2 linked regions of the Lytechinus pictus genome follow. The protein of the gene in region 2 purifies or fractionates together with the protein of the main gene of each other region. This does not show direct contact. Links are inferred from orthologs where the notes say so. Each region holds a gene or a part of one and is shown on either strand. Other genes may lie near its edges. The genes, in order: centrosomal protein 20-like and centriole and centriolar satellite protein OFD1-like.

What was found.
Region 1: the proteins of centriole and centriolar satellite protein OFD1-like (region 2) and centrosomal protein 20-like purify together in Homo sapiens (co-immunoprecipitation; 3 studies listed by BioGRID and IntAct, with this or other methods). This does not show direct contact. The link is inferred for Lytechinus pictus from reciprocal best matches to the Homo sapiens genes OFD1 and CEP20.

Annotation. Positions count from the first base shown.
Region 1 is NC_087254.1:24,247,378-24,260,651, forward strand, and holds the start of centrosomal protein 20-like, read right to left. Parts: upstream 4,764-13,274; 5' UTR 4,705-4,763; coding exon 4,677-4,704; intron 3,027-4,676; coding exon 2,829-3,026; intron 2,598-2,828; coding exon 2,513-2,597; intron 2,052-2,512; coding exon 1,912-2,051; intron 1,614-1,911; coding exon 1,549-1,613; 3' UTR 1-1,548. Other genes in the region: fascin-like, read right to left, coding at 9,944-10,176, 10,905-11,206. UniProt on the Homo sapiens protein: Involved in the biogenesis of cilia. Required for the recruitment of PLK1 to centrosomes and S phase progression.
Region 2 is NW_026974140.1:11,825,203-11,837,884, forward strand, and holds the start of centriole and centriolar satellite protein OFD1-like, read right to left. Parts: upstream 5,989-12,682; 5' UTR 5,624-5,988; intron 1-5,623. UniProt on the Homo sapiens protein: Component of the centrioles controlling mother and daughter centrioles length. Recruits to the centriole IFT88 and centriole distal appendage-specific proteins including CEP164. Involved in the biogenesis of the cilium, a centriole-associated function.

The sequences.
Region 1 (13,274 bases), on a different chromosome or scaffold from region 2:
ATAGGCTAACAAAGATGAAATATATATGATTAGTACACTGAATAAAAAAAATAACCTTGTGAGCATTTTCAATTAATTACACTCAATGAAAACAGCCTGGTAAAAATTATGATTTGTTGGAAGAAATTAAAAACAAGTGGAGCACCTCTGGCAGTCTCACCTGCATCACACGATTCAATATAGCAGCAGTGCTGACTTTGAAAACTACTATAAAATAATTATTAACAAAAAAACACCATTCATATAATGATACATTACTACGTTCATCGGCAAAAAATGACATTTGACCTTGATCATGCAACCTAAAACAGTGATACTTGATTACCCCTATATCCACATTTTATAAACTATATCTATAAACTTTGAAAGTTACTACAGCAATCTAATAATTACCTCCAAAATGGCCAAAGTTCAATGACCTTAAATGACCATTGACTTTGGTCATGTGACCTGAAACTCGCATGAGATGTTCAGTGATATTTGATTACTCTTATGTCTAAGTTTCATAAATCAGATCCATAAACTTTAAAAGTTAAGATGGTAATTCAACAGATACCCCCAACTTGTCTGAAGTTCATTGACCCTAAATGACCTTTGACCTTGATCATGTGACTTGAAACTCAAACAGGATGTTCAGTAATACTTGATTAATCTTATGGCCAAGTTTCATGAACTAGGTCCATATACTTTCTAAGTTATGATGACATTCCAAAAACTTAACCAAGGTTAAGATTTCAATGTTGACGACGCCGCCGTCGTCGGAAAAGCGGCGCCTATAGTCTCACTACTATGCAGGTGAGACAAAAGCTATTTGAAAAATATGCAGGTGAAAGTTTGAAAGGAGAAAGAAATCAGATAAGAAAAAAAAGCATATGAATGTTTGGAAAATATATCTCTAAATATATCCTACTTAGTTTTAAACTGGCAATTAAGTGAGTAAATTGTGAAAATTTGAGGTAAACTTTCCAAGAAAACTTGACTACCACTTTGAAGTTTTGGGCCCTGTGACTGGAGGACTGAATTTTATGTTTGGTTACATTGACTATAATGTGAAATGTAGCTTACATGAACTATTTTTTTTTGTATTGAGTTTTCTTCATACTTGCAAATGGAGAAAAATAGTGTCTCAGATTTTCCCAAATGATGTCCAGATTGCCTCGAAACCCTACAAGATTTGTAGGGTTTTTGAGGGTGATTGTTAAACTCAGTATCTTCTGTCTCAACTCTTGTTCCAAGTAGGAATTCCCAGTCTTTCTTGTTCCATGTCTGTAATCCGACATTATTAACAGCTCCAACAACTAGGACTGTGTTCAGTTCATCAACAAACCAATCCACACATTGTTGCAAGATGACATTAAGCCATACTGACCATTATGAAAATTAGGCAGTGGATTGTAAACGTAAGAAAGAAAAGTCCCTGTTTCAAGTCTTCCATTTCATGTTGACAATATGATACAAACAACTTACAGCATAAGGACCGGTAAATTCTTTAATCAGACCAATGCAAACAGAGCTTTGTCACAAGTTGAAACTATGTGAAACTAGATATCATCTTGTCTTGTTGCTGAATGTGAACGGCTCTCCTACCCTCACATCAGAATGATGAGGAACATCTATAGAAGAAGAGGAATCAAAGAAACAATCAAATGAGGACAAAGGTTCTGAAAAAAAATACAAAGGTATGAAAATAGAAGCTTATTTCCATGTCTCGATTCACTATGCAATAATAAAAACCACCCTTGACAAAACTAGATCAAATTGCATTTAACTGAATTCTGCGATTCTTAGACATGTTTCGTTTTTCAAGCTATGCTTGAAAAGATAAAACACTATTGATAGTTTTGGGAATAAAACTGATTAATTCTGACCTAAAGAAATCCCTGTATAAAAGGAAAACGTGTTAACTTTTACCTGATCTTGTTGTCCTGTGACGATCTGACCTGACATGAAGTGATCTCAATTGATGTGATGATGATTGGTGGGCGGGGCTCACTGAAGAACCTCTTCCTTGACCATGGATGAAGTGTGAAAGTATCCCATACAGGAGAGGTCTGAAAACAGAAATATTGGAATCTTGATAATAATCAACAAAATAAAGAGGGATCCAGTACAAATTCTCCAGAAACCAAAACCTGATCCTTTTTTAATGATTTTTAATGTTCTTGTATCAAATTAAATTGAATTTTTCAATCAATATAAATCAGTCGGAGAAATCAGAAATCTATTTTGTACTTGAGTTAAAAAAAACACTAGGGCCCGAATTCACAAAGGTGGTTTTTAAAACCGTCGGTTGAACCCATGGTTTATGCAGATTTTCGGTATAAATTATGCTTATTTACCGCATATATTAAAAACTGTCCAATGCTGATGCAAGCTTTTGTCAGTGTGCCAAATTGACGCCTGTTGCCATGGTTAAGTACGCTATTGTATTCATGAGTCAAAGACATTTTAAAAAAAATTACATTAAATAATTAATCTTCACTCAGTTACATTTAATAGTGCATTTACTTACATGCTAGATGTATTTTTGTCTTCTACTAGATTGAGCTCAGTGGCCAAAAACTGGCGATCTAGTGGAGTAGTGGGCTGCCCAGACTCTGAAAAGGAAGAATTTTCATAAAAACCTATTTTCTTTGTACCATTTGGTAATGAAATCTATTATGCACATAAACCTGATTAAATATTTTTAAAATCCCAAGACCAAAGAAAAGGGTTTCATTACTTAAAAGTTCTTCAAATTAGGTAAGAGTAACTATTGACAATTTTACTGACAAGAGTGACTATTGACAATTTTACAACTGTTAAGCTTTATCTATTCACAACCATACCTGATAGTAGTACTGATGATGTATATTTATAGTGGTTGAACTCTAGATACTCTCTGATGAGTTCATTGATGAGCATGTTTTCATTGCTGAGTGGTGGTTTCCTCTGATTTGGATCATCCAAGGCCCGGAAGACTTCAGCTCTGACTCTTGCTTTGATCTCTCCAAGGACACCATTATTTTCCAATGTCTCCTTGACAACTGGGGAGAATTATAGTCCAACAAAGGACAGAGACGGTATAAATACAAAAACTCAGTCAGAAAGTTTAGTGTAGTTTAAAACTTTAAATTCAACTGGCTTTAGAGTCATTTAGACAAGACTAGCCGTCTAGTGGAAGTCCATCCTGCTATCAAGTTGGCATTGAGAAAAGAAATGAGAGAATATATCTACGAAATTTTAATTATTATTAATATAATATTTTATTTGGCAAAAAATATGAAATAGAAAAGCAAGTCAAGTACAACAATGATAATTTTTTTTTTTTAATAATACACAACTAGCAGACTAGTCACTACAGTAACACAATAATAATAGTAGGGCCTAGAACAAAAATACTTAAACACTAGATTCACCTGGATGAGCTGCCAGGCATTGGGCAAATTTAAACAAATAGACCCTAACTATGTCATTCATAACCTTGTTAATTGAATGAGTGTATATGACATAGGCCTAGATAGATCCACCATCCTGCCTGTGGGTAATCTACAGGTAGGACTATGGTATGACAATGCTGTACACAGCACACAATTTAAAAAATCATTAAAATATCACTTTTGTGACCAAAAATACTAATTTACATACAGTTGCAATTTATTTTTCATTATTATTAACTTTGGAGTAATTTTTGTATTCACCAGAATGCTCAAAAACTTGAATTTTTGGCATATTTTTGTGAACGCCCTCTATTGGTGGAAATTGTCATTTTTCAATCTCTATTTTTTAATTAAGAAAAAATAATCTAAAGAATCAAATTTACTTAAAGGACAAGTCAACACCAAGAACAAGTTGATTTGAATAATAAGAGAAAAATTCAACGAGTGTAACACTGAAAATTTCATCAAAATCGGATGTAAAATAAGAAAGTTATGATATTTTTAAATTTCACTCAATCTCACAAAACAGTTATATGCACATACCGGTCGGTATGCAAATGAGGGGACTGATGACATTTCGTTTGTACTTCTTTACATAAAATATGAAATATTCTAATTTTCTCCCCTTTATCCTGTGAAACAAAGTTTCATTTCTCCCTGAACATGTGGAAATACCATTGTTTAACATTTTATGGTCGCATGCAGTGTTTTGAAATCGGCCGTGAATAATACGTGTGAGGAAAGATACTGGCCCAAAAAATCACAAATTTTGAGGATAACCGGAGGATGGAAACGGAGTGAAATATGGGTGTAGAGTAAGATATTAAGTCAATCATCTTTTTCGTTATATTTTTTTTGTTTAATTTTACGATTATCATGATTGCCATCCCACCTTGGCTTTGTGACTCGGTAGGCCTATATCCGAAATGGTTCACGGTCCCGATGTTCGGGTAGGTGGAGCGGAGTGTAGCGGTAGTGAAGTGGAGCCTGCACGAACATCGCCCGAGGTAGGTTATATCATAAAAGGTTATGATCTATCTCACTCATTCTATGAAAAGGGGTTCATAGAATGAGTGAGATAGATCTAACTTCAAAAGCGCTAACACAAATATTAACAGGTGGGACACAGTCAAATTTATTGTTTTTATTTTCCCCTTTTATAGCTTTAAACAGTATCTATATCAATAATTTTTAATCCATAGTGTAATTAAGAAGTAGCATTGTAATTATTCATGGAAAAAATAAAGCAATATTCACCTGATTTTAATTCTTGGGCTTGAGCCATTTAAGCGTTTTACTTCTCAGCAAATTTAAACAAAACCGCTGGCTTATGGATGTTTATGGAGCGCCGAATGGGGAGCCAGCTAAAACGCGGAACTCGGATCATTTTGTTGTTGTTGTTGTTGTTGTTGTTAGGACATGTAATATTGGAGCGAGGAGGCCGAGGTGATGAGGGTTTTTAAAAAAACATTGCCAATGACTTCAATTCGTTTAGGTTTTTGAGTATATGGAAAATCTTTTGTTTATGTTTTGTTGTGAATATTTGACACTCGAAAAAGAGAATGAGTAGGCCTATAATTATGTCGATTTTGTAAATAGATACTTGATATACACATTATTATATCTATCATTATACAGGTAGTATGATATGGAGTTTCAGTGTAACACTCAATCATTTGATATTGTGTTAATATATACATATACTTGCATTGAAAAAATATAAACAAGTTAAAGAAAAAATATATTACATGTAAGTTAGTGCTTCTAAAAAGAAAGAACAAAAAATGCAAAGTGTTGAAATTTTTTTTCACTTATTTTTTCGGATCATCATGTTTGATTGAATGTCGGCTCTGTTAATGTTCTTCTTGACAGTTTGATTCCCCTTCCCAGCCCCCGTGCCCTTCTTCTACCATCTGCCCCCCCCCCCCCGTCGGCCCCTCTTGCGGGGGCCGCGAAACCGAAGGCTGGAGGGCTTCAGCTCCCTTTTTTCTCAAAAAATCGTGTACCAAAAAGTAAGAAAATGACAATCTGATTGCGATTTTTATCATGGTAGTGCCCCCACTTTCAAATCCGTTCCGCGGCTCAGTATAGGGTCATGTATAGGCCTAATTTAAATTTGGTTTCGGGAAAACCTTGAAAAACACACGGCCAATATAGGCAAATCAACGATATGAAAATGCGTTGTGCTATTATTTGGAGGATATATCAAAACTGGAAATGAGTTTCCTTCTAGAATTTGTGCGATTATAAATGAACATTTATAGGTTGCCAGAAGAAAAAGAAAAATATCGACGTACTTATTTTTAAAAACATAAAAACCAATTTTCAATTAAGCACGGTAGAAAGAGCTGTCTCTCCCCCTCCCCCCCCCCTCTCTCTCTCTCTCTCTCTCTCCCTAATTGCCTCCCCGGGCCTCCTACCCCTTTTTACTTTCCCCTTTTCTTGAGCCCTAACTTCCAGCTAAAATTAAACTTTTGGTAAAAACATCTGATATCTATGGAAAAAGTATATGATAAGATGTTTCTGTTAGGTTTATTTGTTTCTTTGGAAAAAAGAAAGAAAGAAAGAAAGAAAGAAAGAAAGAAAGAAAGAAAGAAAGAAAGAAAGAAAGAAAGAAAGAAAGAAAGAAAGAAAGAAAGAAAGAAAGAAAGAAAGAAAGAAAGAAAGAAAGAAAGAAAGAAAGAAAGAAAGAAAGAAAGAAAGAAAGAAAGAAAGAAAGAAAGAAAGAAAGAAAGAAAGAAAGAAAGAAAGAAAGAAAGAAAGAAAGAAAGAAAGAAAGAAAGAAAGAAAGAAAGAAAGAAAGAAAGAAAGAAAGAAAGAAAGAAGAAAGGAAGGAAAGAAGGAAGGAAGGAAGGAAGAAAGAAAGAAAATAGACTGCATGAAAAGCACACATCAAACCATTGGCTTCATATATCACATTTATTGCACATGATTGTCATCCACAAAGATTTTGATCGCTTTGTACTGAAACATTGAACGTGCATATTAAGTACAAAAAGAAAATGAATGTCAAAGTCATTTCATTAAACTAATAGATGCGGAGTGCTTCTTCTGACAGATATGACAAGCTCAATAACACCGTGATTTCATTTCATCCTACGTTCAAATACAATATAAATAGAAGATTGCATGATGCATTGCACATAATAGACAATAACAGCAGTTGAAAGTATGAGAAAAAATACTCATACAAAATATGTAATTCTATTCTTCATGTTTTTGTGGAACACCAAATGACGTGCAGTATGGAAAGAATGAGACTACGATTGAGCTGTCAGGGCTTGAATGGATGTAGATCAAAGAGCTAAAAAAAAACTTTAATTGATTCTAGGTTAAAATCAATTTTAAGATCAATATCGAAAAAAAATCAAGGCCTTATACCCATATTAAATTATGTCCTAGCTCCATTTTTACAATTTCAGTGTCAATATATATTTTTTTTTGCTGAATATGACTTTGCATTTTAAAATCGATTTTAAACTGTAATATTTTAAAATAGATTTTTCTGTTGATTTTGAAATTGACTTTGAAATCTAGTTCCTAAATGGTTTTGGAAAAAAATAGATTTCATTGTTTGTTTGAAAAATCGAATTATTCTTTTAAGTCGATTTTTTTAATGTGATTGTAAAATGATTGATTTCAGATAATGGAATAGATCGTAAAATGGAACTCATTAAATCACTAAAAAGGTTCATTTGATTGGTGTGCAGACATGAGTAAAACGTTCTTAATTCTACAATCACGATTTTATTTTTGTTCTCATGTGAAATGTAACTATATTTTTTTAAGAATGTATTTCAAAATTGCGCTTAAAACTGATTTTATCGTCTTGAAGTTGATCGCATGCAATGCCTATATGCATTTGTCTGAACGGTCACAAGTAACGTATTATGACCGACCATGGTTGAATTTTGATAATGAGGATGATTTATCAACGAGCAAGGACTCACATCAACATCTTATAAAACAAATAATCATGGCCCTGTGAAGCGGGGGTGCTGCATGCATTAGGCAGCACCCCCAGGTATTCTGGAAGTTGTGTAAAACTTGAAAAATGTAACAAAAATGACCTTCATTTTGTAGTGAAACCATTTTTCTGTTTTCTGCTTTTCAAATTTCTCGGAACAATTTGACCTCCTCCATTTGTAAAGAATACCTTTTTTTATTTTTAAATTTACATCAGCACCCTCACAAAACATTCCTTTCCAGGGCCCTGCAAATAATGCACATATTTTGCTCGGATATGTCCCGAGCGTCTTGGAACTGTTTCGAATATATATAGCTAGGCATACATGTACCTTGTTCGTGAAATTTTCATTAATGCTTTTGCTGAAGTATGTTATAGATTATGCATTGAAATAAATCCAATGTAAAGCTAATTAAACACGAAAACATCTCCAAGTCGTACTAGAAATAATTATCTTGAAAGCTACTTTAAAGGTCAAGTCCACCCCAGGAAAATGCTAACTTGAATAAATAGAGAAAAATCAAACTAGCATAGTGCTGAAAATTTCATCAAAATCGGATGTAAAATAAGAAAGTTATGACACTTTATAGTTTCGCTTATTTTTCACAAAACAGTGATATGCACAACTAGGTGAGTCAGTCGATGATGCCCATCACTCACTATTTCTTTTGTTTTTTATTGTCTGAATTATTCAACAGTTCATTTTTTATAGATTTGACAATATATAAGGACCAACTTGACTGAACCATATAGTATTAGACAATGCTAATTCCACATGTTTAGGGAGGAATTAATCTTTGTATCACTTGACAATGAGGAGAAAATTAGAATATTTCATTAAAAAAAATACAAAAGAAATAGTGAGTGGATGCTGTCATAGTCTCCTCATTTGCATACCAGCCAGGATGTGCATATAACTATTTTGTGAAATTAAACGAAACTTTAAAATGTCATAACTTTCTTATTTCACATCCGATTTTGATGAAATTTTCAGTGTTATACTTGTTGGATTTTTCTCTTTTTATTTAAATCAACTTTTTGTTGGGGTGGAATTGTCCTTTAAAAAGAAAAATCATTCGCGCTTTCGTTTGATCGTGTTTTAACACATATGCAAAAAAGTATGAACACAAGTTTCTACATGTTCCTATTTTTACAAAATTAAAAAAGACGGTTTGCCACCAGGGTACCAGGCTATAGTAATTGATGTTTCAACACTGTTTAAAGTAGAAAGTAGATTAATATGCATGAAACAAATGTTCAAAATATTTTCCCTCATCAAGAGTAACCTATTTCAGAGGGTACACAAGTACAGCTGGAAAGAAAATCGTCCCCGGCCGTGACGATAAACCTCAAGAAATCGTCACAACGATCCCACCGCTGCCACCATTAAGTAATGGAAACGATTCTAGGCTAACATTGAACTGTCGTCATGGCCGTAACCGAGATGTAGGTACAGACTCGATATGCCAAACCTTTACTCACAATTATCAGGGGCGGATCCAGGATTTTCCAAAGAGGGGGGGGGGGGGGGCAAAATTTCCAGATGAAAATTTGACAAGCAAAAAAAGAAAGGACGGTTTCACCTAAAATTGAAGGCCATTTCGTCCTCACTTTCAAAGGGGGGGGGGGGCACACTTGGGTAAAAACGGTACACTCTAAATTACAGGGATTTAAAATTAGTCCACATGGACTGTAGTTAGGGACCAATCGAATTCCGGATTTAATTGAATCCTTCAGATTCCTTTTTTAAATCTCGAAAGATTTAAATTTAATTTAAATTTAAATCATTTGAGATTTAAATTTAAGTCTTTAGGATTAAAACAAAATCCAGAAATCGATTGGTCCCTAACTACAATCCATCTAGACTTATTTTAAATCCCTGTAATTTAGAGTGTATATTTACATTACATATTTTGATTATGGCTCTCAAAAGGGGGGACACAGGCCGGATGTGCCCCCTCCCCTCCCTTGGATCCGCCACTGCAATCATGGAACGTATTGGTTAAGCGGATGGGTGATTATTCCGTTTATGGATTTTAAAAAATAAATCCATGAAGGATTGGATAACCCAGACTTCAAGGAAACAGCAATGAAGAAGTTTTCACGTGCACGACGCACGACGGAATGTCAATACAATGTCAAACGTCCTATAGAAAACAAACACAGCCAAGAAGTCTGTCAAAATTGATAAATCTAAACAACAGTTTCATCCTGGACTCTGGACAAACGACATATTCATCATTCGTCAGCTCCGAAACTAATTAGGACGAAACTGCTGTTCCGGTTCACAAATTTTCGACAAAGACCCAGATGTTCTTTGAATTGCCACTTGACGGGCATTTTCAGTACATTTACTGTGTTCTTGAATCTGTCCCCATTGCATTTGTGAAACTCCCTGTCTGGGCTCCTGGGACGTATCATGGTTAACTTTACTTCATCAGACCATGATTTATTCATGTTTTATTTAACACAATCGGTAAAAACGGTGGAGAGTACAGTCCGGTTCAGTTGAAAAAACTGTTTTACAACAGAATCATCCAAGACCGGACATAAAGATCTAATTAAATGTCCACAGGGTTTCCTTTGACAATGTATCGCCGGTTGCAGTGAAGGCGCCATTCTTGTAGCCTTTCAGGAAACAGTCATTGTCTGGGTGCAGAGGACGTATGGCCAGCTTGGCTTTACCAAGTATTGTGTGAAGCTCTAGGATGAAAGATGTTGGTTGACCCATGGAGGCGGCTATGACGTGTTCCTTCAATGAGTCCATGCACCATGGATTCCCATCTTGATCTAGTGGTGAAATGAAAAGATTATGAAAGGAGGAATGTTTATCATTACATTTTAAAGGCATCATAACCAAATTCTTCTCGGCATTAGAGTTTGATAGATACTCTTTTGAATAGTATTATGTAATTTGTACGACCAAGGATCTTAATTGTTATTTTGCCTCGTCTTTACTGAATCATACCGTCTTTTATCTGCGGTACTTTTATTACAATCAATCTTGATATACCAATTTCTTGAAAGTAATCACACATTAAATTCTTTAGATTTCGAAGAGGAACCTATCAAAACGTAAATTGAAAATTTAAATCTAATTGATTTAGAAGTCAATTTTATTCTCAATTTCATTTTAGATCAGTCCCCGTGACCACCGTGACCACCACAATAGACTAATTTCCAATCCCAGCAACTCTCGAATTTGACTTTTATAACTACGTTCAGAAAGTTGAAATATTCCTTGATGATAATCTTCCTAGATCGAAAGAATGTATCTTTATAGTCTTTGCAGTGACCCATTTCCATTTGATTTTTTTCTGTCTATGTGAAATCAATACCATTTCTGTGTTTGTATAAATTGTATTGTATCCAAATGTAAATCTTGTAAATTTGTATGTAAATCTTGTAAATTTGTAAATTTGTATGTATGAATTGTATCTTTTTATCGAATGGAATGAATAAATCTTGAATCTTGAATCTTGACCGAATTGTTAAAATACGAAAATACGAAGTTCTACCTGTAATCCGATATGTACTTGTATCCGGTTCGTATGTCAAATTCAGTTCGTCGTAATCCGCCGAATTGCATTTGACTTTATTTTTTCTTCCTCCTGTTTCGCGCTTGACGAATCCGAATTCGCCTTGGAGAATGAGTGAGGTGCGGTTGGCGAGCTCCATGCCGATCTTGCCAGCGATGTCGTTGATGTTGGCGGTCAAGAATGGTTGACCGGAAGCATCTATCGATACGTATTGTTGGGAATTGGAGTGGCGAAGGGCGAACGAGTCATTGACGAATTCGAATTCAAACTGCTTTGCAGTGCTGAAAATAAAATGAATGAAATCAAATGCTTTGTTATAAACATCACTTTTTAATAAAAAGAACTTAAAGCCTTAATATACATGCAATTAGCTACTTTTTCATCCCAACCAGGTAACGGTGCAATGTAGGCTATACGAGATTTTTACCGTCACAGTGTGCTTAAAAGACGCCGGTGATAATGCGTATACATGGGAATATTTGCTCGTTCGCTTCGGCTTCTCACTCAATATTATTTACAGATACTTAAGTGTTTTAATCATTTATGTCATAACAGTAGCTGGATCGAAGACCCATTTTGTAATTGGGCTAAATATGATAAAAAGAGATGTATGTACACATTTTATTTATCTTTGGGGTCTCATAAATTTGAAAATTTCCGTTCAGTAATGAGGCTATCGCACCCCAACCCCTTCACCCACTCAGTAAACACACTGGACTCACTCTGCTTCTATTCCATCATCCTCGCCATAAATACTGACTGGCAAAGATATTCCAGCACTGATCAGTTCTATAATTTGGCTGAATTTCTCACAGTGCAAACAAATTTAGTTGCGATAATGAAGGTAATTAATGAGATTGCTCCGAGGCCGAGCTTGGTTGATAAAAATGACGGATAGCCAGAATAAATAACTGTTACAAATTAGATTAAATTCTGCTACACTGTACCTCAGTCGGTACAAAGAAAGAATGTTGGTGTATTTAATGATTATATACAAAGTCAAGGGATACATTGAAATGAAAAATTATAATGGTTTAGCATCCACAGAAAAAAAAATCTAAAAAAATAATAATAATGAAACAAGGGGGAGGGGTGGGGGTAGTAGGATATGCGGTGAGGTTTGCTAGAATCGAAGGTGGTTGTTGCTTTGATGGGATGATGATGATGATGGTGGTGGTGGTGGTGGTGGTGATGATGATGATGATGAGGAGGAGGAGGACGAGGAGGAGAATAAGAAGGGACATATTATGGTGATAATGGTGATAATGATATGGCGATGATGATAATGGTGACGACGACGACGACGATGATGATGATGACGATGATGATGATGATGATGACGATGATGATGATGATGATGATGATAATGATGATGATGATGATGATGAAGTAATTGATGATGTTGATTTAAATTTGAGAGGATTTGTCTGTAAGCATGCATATATGTCATTATGTGGTTATGTCTTGTAATTCATATCAAATTGTTTTCAAACTAATATCTCCGTGGTGATTTACAAAACAATATCCCTGGTGAATTATTTTTGTTCATCGCTCCATTCTTTTACGATATAGTCAATGACGTACATGCTTGCCAGAAGAGTACACTGAACCAGATAGACGAGAAGTCACATATCTGTTCTATGCAGTCAGTTTAGTTTCAATTAAAAATGCCTATAACAGTATTACAAAAATATGGTTGCTTTGGTTACTGACGTACTGGTAGGAGGGGGTGGGGGCAGCGGTTTCATAACAACTGCATTTTTTTGTTTTACAAAACCTTATACTGTATGCTTCAAAAATGATATTTCAAAGTCTGGCCCATTTTACCCTTTCGCCTATCGATTGCTACATTTTTTTCGCATGTTTTAGAAATGCTTTCCGTATCCAAAGCTCATCTCCTTGGTTATAGTTTACTCATTTCACCACCGATGCATATGGGTATATTCACGTAACAATATATATAAGGTATGATCAATTTTTCGAACAAAAATAAAGTCCTCTCTCCAATATTTTGTTGATTATGATTTCTTAATAGAATTAATACTGAGTCGATGATCATAGAATTGTAAAATGTTAAATTTTTGTTTGAAAACAAGTACAAAGCCTTTGTATGTTCCAGCTCTATACATTCCCATTTATCAATTACATGTATACAAAACTATATTTAGCCGATTTTTTAATGCAATTATTGTACGTTTCGTGGTATTTGATAAACAGATGAACAATGTCCTACTTTTACTGATTAGTTGCTTTGTATAGAAATCCTACTCTGACGGATAAATTTAGATAATTGGTATAAAGACATTAACATCTATGGAGGTAATGAAAAGCATGATTAAACTAATTAGT
Region 2 (12,682 bases):
CAGGTTATTAAACGAAACGGTGAGTGGACGAAATAGCATTTAGAACATGTGGATAGTGGACAAACTGATGGTAGACCAAATGATAGTAGACGAGTTGGAAATTGGATGAATTAGCATTAGACCAATTGAAAATATTCCTATAGGGCACCATTATTTTTTTTCAATCTCAAAATGAATGGCCAATTTTTACAGGAGAATAAGTTTAACGTTTTTGAAATACTAGTAGAAGGCCCTTCATATCAACTGCCCCTTGTCTGCGCACATTCTTTTCTAATAAAAGAAGATCCACACAACGAACACAAACTTTACACCTGAAATACATAGATATTCGTTTAAAAATCTACTCAAAATGGTGGGAAAATATTGAATTTCAGGCATGTCATGTGACGGCATCAAAATGCAGATTTTCTCATCAAAACCCAGAATCCTGTGTTGGTGCGCAGACATGGGGCACCATTTTTTTGTTCAATCTGAAAATAATTGGCATTTTTTTTAAGCGTTTTTTCCAATAAAATCATAAATTTCCTTCAAACTATTATGAGATTTTGGTATACTTACTCATAATTATGTAATATCAACTGAAAATTTTTGTTAAATAAAAACAAATTCATGTTAAATTTTTAACTTGAATAGTTAGGTGTGCAGACATGGGGCCCTCCTTCATATGATTAGATGCCCAAAGTCTGCATAGTACTGTCTGTGTATACAGAGTCCTTAGTGAAAATTAAATAACCTGCAATAACCATAAACTTCACACTGAATACACCTGGCTGCATTACATAGACAGATATTTAAAAATCTGGGTCAAGAAGACAAAATGATGGAGAAAATCCCTGTGTGTAAAGTGAATATGGGAGCCAAAAGTAATAAAAAGAACTTAACATTGTAATAAACGGAACATGCATGTTTCAAGGTTCATACCTTATTCTTAAAGCCTAAAATCATAAACAAGAGTCATTGGCATTTATTCATATTGGATATCAGGAAAAATTTGAGGAATGTATGCCCAGTTTAGTCTACATGTAAAGTCATGTGGACATGGTATTGGTATAAAATGGTAAATTGCCAATTTGTCTGCCAACTCATCACATGGTCTAATGTTATTGTACCTTCATTTAATCTAATACCATTCTGTCCATCAACATTTTGTCTAACAAACATTTGGTCCAAAAATCATTAGGTCCAATCATCACTTTGTCTAATCACCATTTCGTCTAATAATGACAATTTTGTCTCATAACCAGTTGGTCTAATATCCATTTTAAATATCCATTTTAATTTCATTCATTTCGCCCAATTAACACTTATTCCAGTTAGACCAAATGGTACATGTATATGGTTGGTAATTAGGCAAATTTCAAATAAACCTGTGGAACAAGGTGAATTTATTTTAATTAAAAAAAAGGAGTGAAAGTAAAACAATGTTGGTGAGAGCCAGAGATCAATATGTGAGCGCATGCCATGCACATGATGCATGGGGCACCACTTTTCAATCTGAAATAACTAGCTGCTTTTTTTTTTTTTTAGAGCATTGTCATTAAATTTCTCTCAAATTGTTAGATGTTTGGCACACTAAGTTAAGTAATGTTAGTCTTGTTAGACCCTGCTGGCTGCTGCTGAGTGCTGTTCTCTTGACATTATATAAGAAACAATATCAACTGACAATTTTGTAAAATTTAAAGGAAATTGATGCTCAGAGTCAGTCTTTTTTTTTCTCTGCGACGTTGATTTCATCAATATTTCTACTAGGTGAATTAACTTCAAATCTTGACATCAATTTGATGAAAATGAAGAAAAATGAATGATATTATTGAGAATACAACGTTCTTCCTGTACAATCATGACCATGACTGATATTGTGTTTGAAATGATGCTTGAAAGGATACGATATACATGTATAGGTGCCTAGCCGAGTAATACATTCTAACCTCGCATGTGTGTGAGTGACCCTAGACTAGACTTTGAAAAAAAGATGAGAGTATTGTCACTTTTTAAAAAAGGCATCTCTGTAAAGACGCGCAAGCATATTTGAAGTCAATAAATTGACGCAATCTCACTCATTTGCCACACCTCCTGGCGGAATGGATTTCCATGGCATTGGTCATGTTGGTTGAGTGAGATGAGAGATAGAGAATACCAATACAGAGAGATTTTAAGGGTATTTTATCTCACTGATTTTAACAGAGATAAAATATTTTATTTTATCTGAGATAAAAATCATAAAATGGATCTCAGAATTTACCAACCAAGAGTCTCCAGAGAGTCTAGACTGAAGTTTAAATTCACGGTGGGCCGTGGGTCGGGTCTGAAACAACGTATGGTAGGGGGTCCTAAAGCTAAGCACCACTTATCGCACATGCAGTTTTCAATGGCAAATGCGCACTATGTGGAATTGTGACTGCAGACGAACGATTCCTAATCAATTTTTTATACAGAGGCTGCATTTAATCTCTAAATGCAGAGAAAACCCACAACTGTTTGGAATTGGAGTTACATTCACTTTAATTTCATATGTTCCTGTATAATATGAACATATTTTAGAAATAAGCCAGTTCGTAGTTCCACTCTGTGCATGATCAGAGGAAGGTCATTGGTACTAAAGTGACATGGTGGTTTAAAATCTAATGAGATTTATAAGCACCAACTTTGGTGTCTTGATTATTCATATATTATTTTGATTTACCTCCACAAAAAACAAAATTGCGTCTACGAACGACTGGTATTTCAGTTTGCAAAGTACATGTACATTGGACAACATGCTATAATTATGCATTCAAAGTAGAAATGCAACAAATACCTTCATAGTGTTCATTGGTGTGCTATTCTGGTCACCTGGTCTATTCAATTTTTTCATCTTGCTATGGAAGGCATGCTTACGTAATATCTTGCATTGAAATCTGCCTATCATAGTGAAAGAAATGAAAGGTCATTTGACAAAAATTGTCCAAGAAGTAACTACGAACAGGGGTGGTATTCTGAAAATTGTCTTAACTTTTCTTGTAAGTCAGCAATATAACAGCTCGCTAAAATTATCTTAAATTGGTATTCTGAAAATTGTCTTATCCCTGTAAGAACGTCCCCTATTTTATCTCTGACACGCCCTATATTTCTTCATCAACCAATCATTAAGCTTGTGATATGCTAAGGTCAACCAATAGAGACGTCTCTTCTAAAAAATAATGAAGCGCATTGTTGATATGAGGCGTAATTTCCTTGCACCCGCGATGCTTATGCTTGTGCGCTTCTGTGCTAAAAATACACGTGGCTCTTCTCAAAGACATATTTTCTCTGAAAAGATTCATCGTCTCGAACACCAATTTTTAATTTGCTGAAAAGTCTACCAATCCGTCGTTATAATGTCTTTGCAAAGTCTCGTTTTGTAAAACATGATATTCTTGCGGGATGCAGCAGGAAATAATTATTGCAGACGGACAAATATCGCATGCAACAATAAGTTACAATAGCCCCTTACCTCTTGTAAATTTTCTTGTATTTTCCAAGGAAGTTAACATAACACAAAGATAAGAGAATTTTCAGAACACCTTTTACCTCGATAAGTTATCTTGCGCAAAGGGATATTTATGCGCCGTTTTTAACTTTACGCATAATTCTAGCTATGACATCATACGCGCTCGCCGAAAGTTACAAGAAAACATACAAGAATTTTCGGAATACAGATTTTATTGTAACTCTAAAGATACAAGAATATTTCTCTTAAGACAATTTTCAGAATACTGCCCCTGGTCTATTGAGTATACTATTTTTTTTGCATGATAAATGGAGTGCTAGCTTTAGGACCCCTTCTAGTTTAACCTTCTAGAAGTTCTACACCCATGAGGCATGACATCGGGCGGCGAAATTAAGAGGTGTTCGGAAAACATGGCAGGATTTTCGTATTTGTCAGTTTTGTGATATTTTCTCCTTGGTTTATGATTCAAATATTAAAACTGGCAGTTTTCATCGTTTGTAATAGTAAAATTGGAAATAAAGTGCGTAGCTTTAGGTCCCCCATCATACAACCTGCACCTAAGTTAACATTGGCACCTGATTGTGTGAACAGTCGAGTCCACATGATACACCAACCTGGTGGACTGTATGGCAAGTTCCCCCAAGTCTGCGCAGTCCCCCTTGTCTGCGCACACGCGTATCTGCGCGATTCTAGTAAAAGATACGCAACGAACACAGACTTTACACATGCATTACATACAGTGTAGACAGATTTTTATTTTAAAATCCGGCTCAAAATGGTGGGAAAATAATGAATTTAGGGCACTTCATGTGACGACCTCAAAATGCAGCCTTTCTCATCCAAATCCCCAAATCGTGTGCAAAGTGAATGAGTGCGCAGACATGGGGTATACCCAGTTGTTGTGTGTCCGGATGATCAATTTTAGAATTTAGAATTAACAAGTCATTTGGAAAAAATTACAAGCAAAGTTTCATCAAATTTTAGTACAAAATTTTAGGAAATATTATAAAGAACAAAGAAGATGATTACAAGTATTGAATTCATATTTTTAGTGTAATCCAAAGACAAAAAAGAAGGCTTCGAAAAGATAAACTGTCCGGACACCCGACCCCCCATCCTACCATTTTTTTTTCAATCTGAAAATGACTGCCCAAGGTTTTTTCAAGAAAATCCTATATTTTCTTTCATTTTTCAGTGAGAAATTTGGCACACTTACTCATAATAATATAATAAAGGAACATTAATTATTAACTGAAATATTTTGTGAAATAAGAAGAATTTCATGTTAAATCTTAACTCAAATTGTTAGGTGCGCAGACTTGGGGCCCACCATATCATACTTCATAGTCATACCGTAGACGTAGTATGGCAGGGGGTCCTAAAGCTACGCACCACTCATCGCGCATAGTTTTTATGGCAAATGCGCACTCTGTGTGTGGAACTGTGACTGCAGAGTGACGAATGATTCCTATTCAATTTTTTCTACAGAGGCTGCAGTAAATCTCTAATTTAATGCAGAGAAACCAATAACTGTTTGGAATTTTGGAGTTATATTCGCTTAAATTTCATTTTTTCCTATAATAATATGAATATATTTTAGAAATTGAGGCACAGGAAATACTATTTTTTTGCATGATATTAAATCGAGTGCGCGTAGCTTTAGGACCCCTTCTACATCGGGTGGCGAAATCAAGAGGTGTTCGGAAAACATGGCGGGATTTTCGTATTAGTGAGTTTTGCGATATTTTCTTCTTGTTTAATGATCTTTAGAATGTTTGCCACAAATTAGTGAAAGATATTTGTTGAAATATTAAAATTGGGATAGTTTTTATTGTTTGAAAACAAAGTGCGTAGCTTTAGGTCCCCCCATCATTTTTTCAATCTGAAATTGAAAATGACTGCCCGAGGTTTTTTCCAAGAAATTCCTAGATGATAGATCTATATTTCTTTTAAATTTTTATGAGATATCTGGTACACTTACTCATATTTTATAATAATAATATAAGGAACATTATTAACTGAAAGATTTTGTGAAATAAAAAGAAATTCATGTTAAATCTTAACTCAAATTCTTAGGTGCGCAGACTTGGGGACCACCATTATTCATTAAACGGAATACGGATGATGATCCCGGGTCAACATTCGCCAACTTACAAGTTTTGCACAAATTTTCATCTGTCTCGGCTAGCTAACTTTTTTGGGGGTCAAAAAGTTGTACAGATTTAAATGCTCCAGCCTTTTCCACTTGTCTTAATGCTGTCTTCTCCAATCCTTTCAAGCCTGCTAACCAACTTTTGTCGCCACCTCGTCAGTCTTTGAAATTGAATATCCCGCGCTGATAATCCAACGGTACGGTATATCGCTCGCAAATGCAGCCTAAACTACTGGCCTAGAGATTGGCAAGTTGCCCTCTCTTCGGATCGATCGGCAGCTCAGCGCTGCAGTGCATTGGAGCAGAAATGTTGGTAGAAATTATCGACCAAAATATATGGGTACAAGTAATTAGTATACATCTCTATGGTACACATACAAACAATGATCCCCTGACAATCTGTTGCTAGTTTGCCAAACGTCCAAACACTTTAAAAATGCATAGTCTATTTAATACTAAAATTCCCAAAACACTGTCAAAACTTGCCAAGTTTGTTAACATTATTATGAAACAGTTTCGTAGATAAGTACCAAATGTATATACCTGTATATTATGTTATTATATCCTTTTTCTTTCTCTTTTTGTTATTCATGTGTTCAAAAGTATTATCTTTGCATTCAAGCAATCAAGGCTTTCATCACCTTTTTTTGCCATATTATAGCTTTTTATATTTATTCATGTTTTGTTATGTATGTATTAATGTACGTATGCACTATGTATGAATGTATGATGTATATCTATGTATATTCTCATACTCCGAAAGGGGTCGACAGAATAAAGTTTCAGTTCAGTTCAGTTCACGAGTGTTAGTGATTGATGGGATTATTTAATTCGTGCATGCAAGCAGGCGCGTAGCCAGGGGGGGGCGGTGGGGGCGGTCGCCCCCCCCAAAACGTCCCCAAAAAGAAAAAAAAAAGAAGGGAAAAAAAAGAGAGGAGAAAAGGAAAAGAGAAGGGAGGAAATGGAAGAAAGGTAGCTTTGTCGGTTTTTTTTTTCTTTTTATTCTTTTTTTTCTCAAAAGAGAAACTCCTTCACTCTTGCTCAAAATTTATATATGAATTTTGCTTAAATGACAATATTGAAGTTCTCCATTGTTTCCCCCACCCTTTCTCTAACCATGTTTTTCCACCTCAGCTATATATATGTGTTTCTTGCCAGTTAAAGTTCAAACGTATACATTAGGGCATGGAATTAGAGTAAGGTTAAGCCGATCAGTATATGAAGTTATCTTTTTTTTTTAAATTGATCGCGCAACTTCTGGTCGGGTCGGCTCCGGGCGGGTAAAATCTTTATATCAATTACTGCCGTCAACTCCATAAAGTCAACTTCTCCCGCTTTTCAGCTCATTACTAAACAACCATAATTTTGGGGCAAACAGGTTCCTAATTTAAGAAGAGGAATGTATAAAATTTGTGTCGTATTAAATAAAAAAGTACAATATTTTTTTATCAAATTCTATTAATCGTCATGTCATTTCCCTGCACATTCATCTCCTGTCCTGTTTTGCGCCCTCAGTTTGAAATTTTTAATGACACTTAGGTTTCTTTATAATTCAAAATGAAGCGCTTCAGGATAAGTCAAAGAAATTAGGCATCCTTTTTTATATAATTTCAATAAATCACAGAAGTTTCAACTTTTTGCGCACTATTTTCCTTGTAATGAAGTTCAATAATCTTAGGAAATCAATTGAATTAGAGCCGATGGGGTACACAGCAAAAAAAAATTATACAACGCTGTTTAATATATGAACCTTACAGCAATTGTAAACAACTGTAAACAACTGTTTAAATCTTAAGCAACAAAGTTTAATTTTCAATATCTAATTTTCAATAAATTAAACATGATTGTTTAAACGGTTAAACAAATACTGTAAGGTTCATATAGTAAACAGCGTTGTATAAAATCTTAAACAGCGTTTTTACTGTGTATTAGAGATATCTGCATTTGATGAAACGTCCGCCCTTTGAAATTTCAGAGTTTTATTGCTCTGCGCGGGGAGGAATATCTTCCTCCCGGCATATACACTTCTTCTCCTCTGTTTTGCGAGTTAAAGATATGCACTGTCGCTAAATTGTTTGTAATCAAATCTGATCTTTCCAAGGGAAGTATTCAATATATCTTTGAGAATACCCTTTTCTCGGGACCCTTTTCATGGCAAAAAAAAATTGATAAAACGCTTTAGCTTCCGCACTTCGCGCGGGGTTATTATGATTTTAATTTCCTCCACTGTATTCCTTTTTGTGCGTTCACAATCACTTTTGAAAACAAGGTTCAAAATCACAATATAGTCAACTGAATTGGAGCTGATATAGATACTAGAGACAAGAGAGACGGCTCCTTTTCATTTTAATTTATGAAACACCAAAAGCTTCGCGCTTCGCGCGGGAGGGGGAAACTCCCCCTCCCTGCACCCACCCCCTAGGGAACGCGCTTCGCGCGCTCTGTAAGTGTTGACACGCTTCGCGTGCATTTACCGCCCCCTCCAAAATGAAATCCTGGCTACGCGGTTGATGCAAGCAGTCTGCCCCCTGACGAATCACAACCCATGCAAGGGACGTATCCCTGCCCCCCCCCCCCCCTGACGAGCTTGAAGACCTTTTTTTTTTTTTTTTGCTTGTCAATTTTTTTTTCTTGTACGAAATCCTACATTTGGGGTTGAAGACTTTTTTTTATTTATATATTTTTGCTTTTCAATTTTTTTTCTGGTATGAAATCCTATATTTGTGGTTTAAGACCTTTTTTTTTTTCTTTTTTGCTTGTCAATTTTTTTTTTGGTTCGAAATCCTATATTTGTGGTTGAAGACCTTTTTTTTTTTTTTTGCTTGTCAAATTTTTGGGCCGACGAATTTGCCCCCCCCTGTGGAAAATCCGCCACGGGGGGGGGGGGCAGCACATGCGTAAACTTTTTCCCAAAAAAATCGAAAGCGAGGGAGGGAAGCGACCAAACTTGTCATTGTCTTTGTCATTTTGCAAGCTTATTTCCAATTCATCCAATATTGCCAACTCGTCTACTATCTTCGGTCTACCATCAATTCGTCCACTCTCCACGTATTGTCGATCTACTTTCATTTATATAGTCTAATACCATTCCGTCTAATAACCAGATGGTCTAATAGCCATTTATTTGGTCTAATTGGACTAATCACAAATCAATTAATTCACAAATTAATTAATTCGTTTCAAATACATCAATAAAACATGGAAAACAATAAACACTGCCATATAACGAGAGCATAAAAGAACGCATGAAAACGATAAAGCACAATAATGTTGAAATTCATGATTCTTTTCGTATAGCTGATATATTTAATCAATACTTTACACAAATTGGAAAAAGTCTTGCAGACAATATACCATTAACACAAAAGAAATGTACGCCTTCATTCACCAACCAAACCCTAATTCTTTATTTTTAGTACCATGCAGTACATAGGAATTATATAGATATAGTGAACAACTTAAAAAAAAAAAACTGTGGTCACCTCGGATGGTATTGATAATATTTTATTAAAGAATGTTATAGAATATATTAATCTATTAGTATACATATTTAACCTTTCTTTAAGTAATGGCGTCCGATGTGCCTGACAATACGAAAATATCGAAGATAATACCAGTGCACAAAAAGGAGAAATGTATGTAACTATAGACCGATAGCTTTATTGCCTACTTTGACTAAAGTTATGGAAAGGGTGAGCTATACAAGATTATTAATTTTTTTAATAAATATAATATAATTTCTGATTTTCAATTTGGATATCGCCAAAAACATGGTAGGCCTACATCTCATGCCACTTTCTTATTAATTGACAAAATCACAAAAGCTATTGACAACTTTGAATATACAAATATGTGTTTTTCTGAACCTCTCCAAGGCCTTTGACACTATCATGAAATACTTTTCTACAAACTTGAAAATTACGAAGTTCGTGGGAAGGCCTTGGAGTGGTTCAGAAACTATACCTCGCAAATCGTAAACAATTCGTAAGCATAAATGAACAAAATTCTTCTCTACAGAATGTTAACTGGGGTGTTCCCCAAGGCAGCCTCCTGGACCCACTTTTATCTATTATCTTTATAAATGACATCCAGAACTCCTCTGAAATATTATCTTAATAATTATGTCCTTTTGCAGATGATTCAAATAGTGTACTCTACTCTACTCTCATCCTAACCCCGATATTTTAATTATTGTACTGAACACTGAACTTGGTACAATATGGATTAGGGCTAACAAATTGTCAATTCATGTACAAAAAAACAAAATGCATGCTTATTAGCAATGCTTTAGAACAATTGCCATTTAATATTAAACTGGACAATATAGACATTTAAGTTGTTACTGCAACAACATTTTTAGGTCTCATAATAGACAACAAATTATCTTGGAAAACACACACTGACTTTATATGTCGTACAATTTCACGCGATATTGATGTTATCAGCAAAGTTAAGTTTTTTTCTTCCAACTTCCTCCCTAAAATGCTTTATTCGACATTAATTTTACCATATCTAAATTATGGAGCAATTCTTGTCTAGAAATAAAATCCATAGCGTAGAAATGTCGGAAATGAAGTTGTATCCCATGTACATGATTTAGGGCTAGATCTTTTAGAAAGAAAGTAGAAATCTCGGGGCGAAAGTTTCAGGTTTTTTGGTGGTACACGCAAAAGTATAGGAAGGAAGACCTGGCTTCGTATGAGAGTAACCTTACGTTAGTAAATGATTTTTACTCTCTAGAAGCCTCCTGGCTAGACTTGGGGACCACCATTATTCATTAAACGGATGATGATCCCGGGTCCACATTCGCCAACTTACAAGTTTTGCACAAATTTTCATCTGTCTCGGCTAGCTAACAGCAATTGTTTGGGGAAATACACACTCAACCTACCTAGATAGAATATTGTTTTTAAAAAAGAAAGCGTTTACAAAGATCACTTGTTTTTCAACAATAACATTCTAAAAATAAAAACACTGTAAAGTATCCCGTAATTAGTAACCAACTGGAATAAAATTATTGGAAATGTTTTTTTGACTGATTTGAGTAGGTATGGGTGTCAACATTTACCCAAAAAAAGTTTAGAGGAATACGGGTTGGGGAAAGTGGTTTTTTCAAGGTCTAAGGTCAATGACTTTTTTAAATATACTGTATCATGGTATTTCCCAGATAAAATATTACAGGTTGGTGATCATGGTGTCAAAATGCACAGATTCTTACAAGAAGATAAAATAAAATAAAATCAAGTACCTACAATGCTCATTCACCCATGAAATTCAAGGTCAAAGCCTTTGAAAGGTCAATGACCTTTTTAACATTATATACCATATACGGTATAATGGTATCTCTGAGATGAAAAGGTGCAGGTTGGTTATTTAGGTGTCAAAATGCAGAGGTTCTTACAGGAAGATTAAAAAAAAAAATATTAAGTACCCAGAATGTACATTAAACAATAAAATTCAAGGTCAAAGCCTTTCAAAGGTCAATGACCTTTTTTTACATTATGTATCATACTGTATAATATTATCTTTGAGATGAAACGGCACAGGTTGGTGATCGTTGTGTCAAAATGCACAGATTCTTACAGGAAGGTCAAATAAGATAAAGTTAATCACCTAGAATGCATATTAATCCATAAAGTTCAAGTTCAAAGGTCAAAGGTCAATGACCTTTTTACATAGGCTATATATCGTATAAAGGTATCTCAGATAAAACGCTGCATATTGGTGATTTTGATGACAAAAAGCAATTTTTACAAGAAGATAAAAAGGCTCAAAATAATCATACAGAATAATCCTTCAACTTTGATATCCAAAGTCAAAGGTCAAAAGATGACAAATATTTATATATCCATGCATGAAAGAAAGCGTTTACAAAGATCACTTGTTTTTCAACAATAACATTCTAAAAATAAAAACACTGTAAAGTATCCCGTAATTAGTAACCAACTGGAATAAAATTATTGGAAATGTTTTTTTGACTGATTTGAGTAGGTATGGGTGTCAACATTTACCCCAAAAAAGTTTAGAGGAATACGGGTTGGGGAAAGTGTTTTTTTTCAAGGTCTAAGGTCAATGACTTTTTTAAATATACTGTATCATGGTATTTCCCAGATAAAATATTACAGGTTGGTGATCATGGTGTCAAAATGCACAGATTCTTACAAGAAGATAAAATAAAATAAAATCAAGTACCTACAATGCTCATTCACCCATGAAATTCAAGGTCAAAGCCTTTGAAAGGTCAATGACCTTTTTAACATTATATACCATATACGGTATAATGGTATCTCTGAGATGAAAAGGTGCAGGTTGGTTATTTAGGTGTCAAAATGCAGAGGTTCTTACAGGAAGATTAAAAAAAAAAAATATTAAGTACCCAGAATGTACATTAAACAATAAAATTCAAGGTCAAAGCCTTTCAAAGGTCAATGACCTTTTTTTACATTATGTATCATACTGTATAATATTATCTTTGAGATGAAACGGCACAGGTTGGTGATCGTTGTGTCAAAATGCACAGATTCTTACAGGAAGGTCAAATAAGATAAAGTTAATCACCTAGAATGCATATTAATCCATAAAGTTCAAGTTCAAAGGTCAAAGGTCAATGACCTTTTTACATAGGCTATATATCGTATAAAGGTATCTCAGATAAAACGCTGCATATTGGTGATTTTGATGACAAAAAGCAATTTTTACAAGAAGATAAAAAGGCTCAAAATAATCATACAGAATAATCCTTCAACTTTGATATCCAAAGTCAAAGGTCAAAAGATGACAAATATTTATATATCCATGCATGAAAGAAAGCGTTTACAAAGATCACTTGTTTTTCAACAATAACATTCTAAAAATAAAAACACTGTAAAGTATCCCGTAATTAGTAACCAACTGGAATAAAATTATTGGAAATGTTTTTTTGACTGATTTGAGTAGGTATGGGTGTCAACATTTACCCAAAAAAAGTTTAGAGGAATACGGGTTGGGGAAAGTGTTTTTTTTCAAGGTCTAAGGTCAATGACTTTTTTAAATATACTGTATCATGGTATTTCCCAGATAAA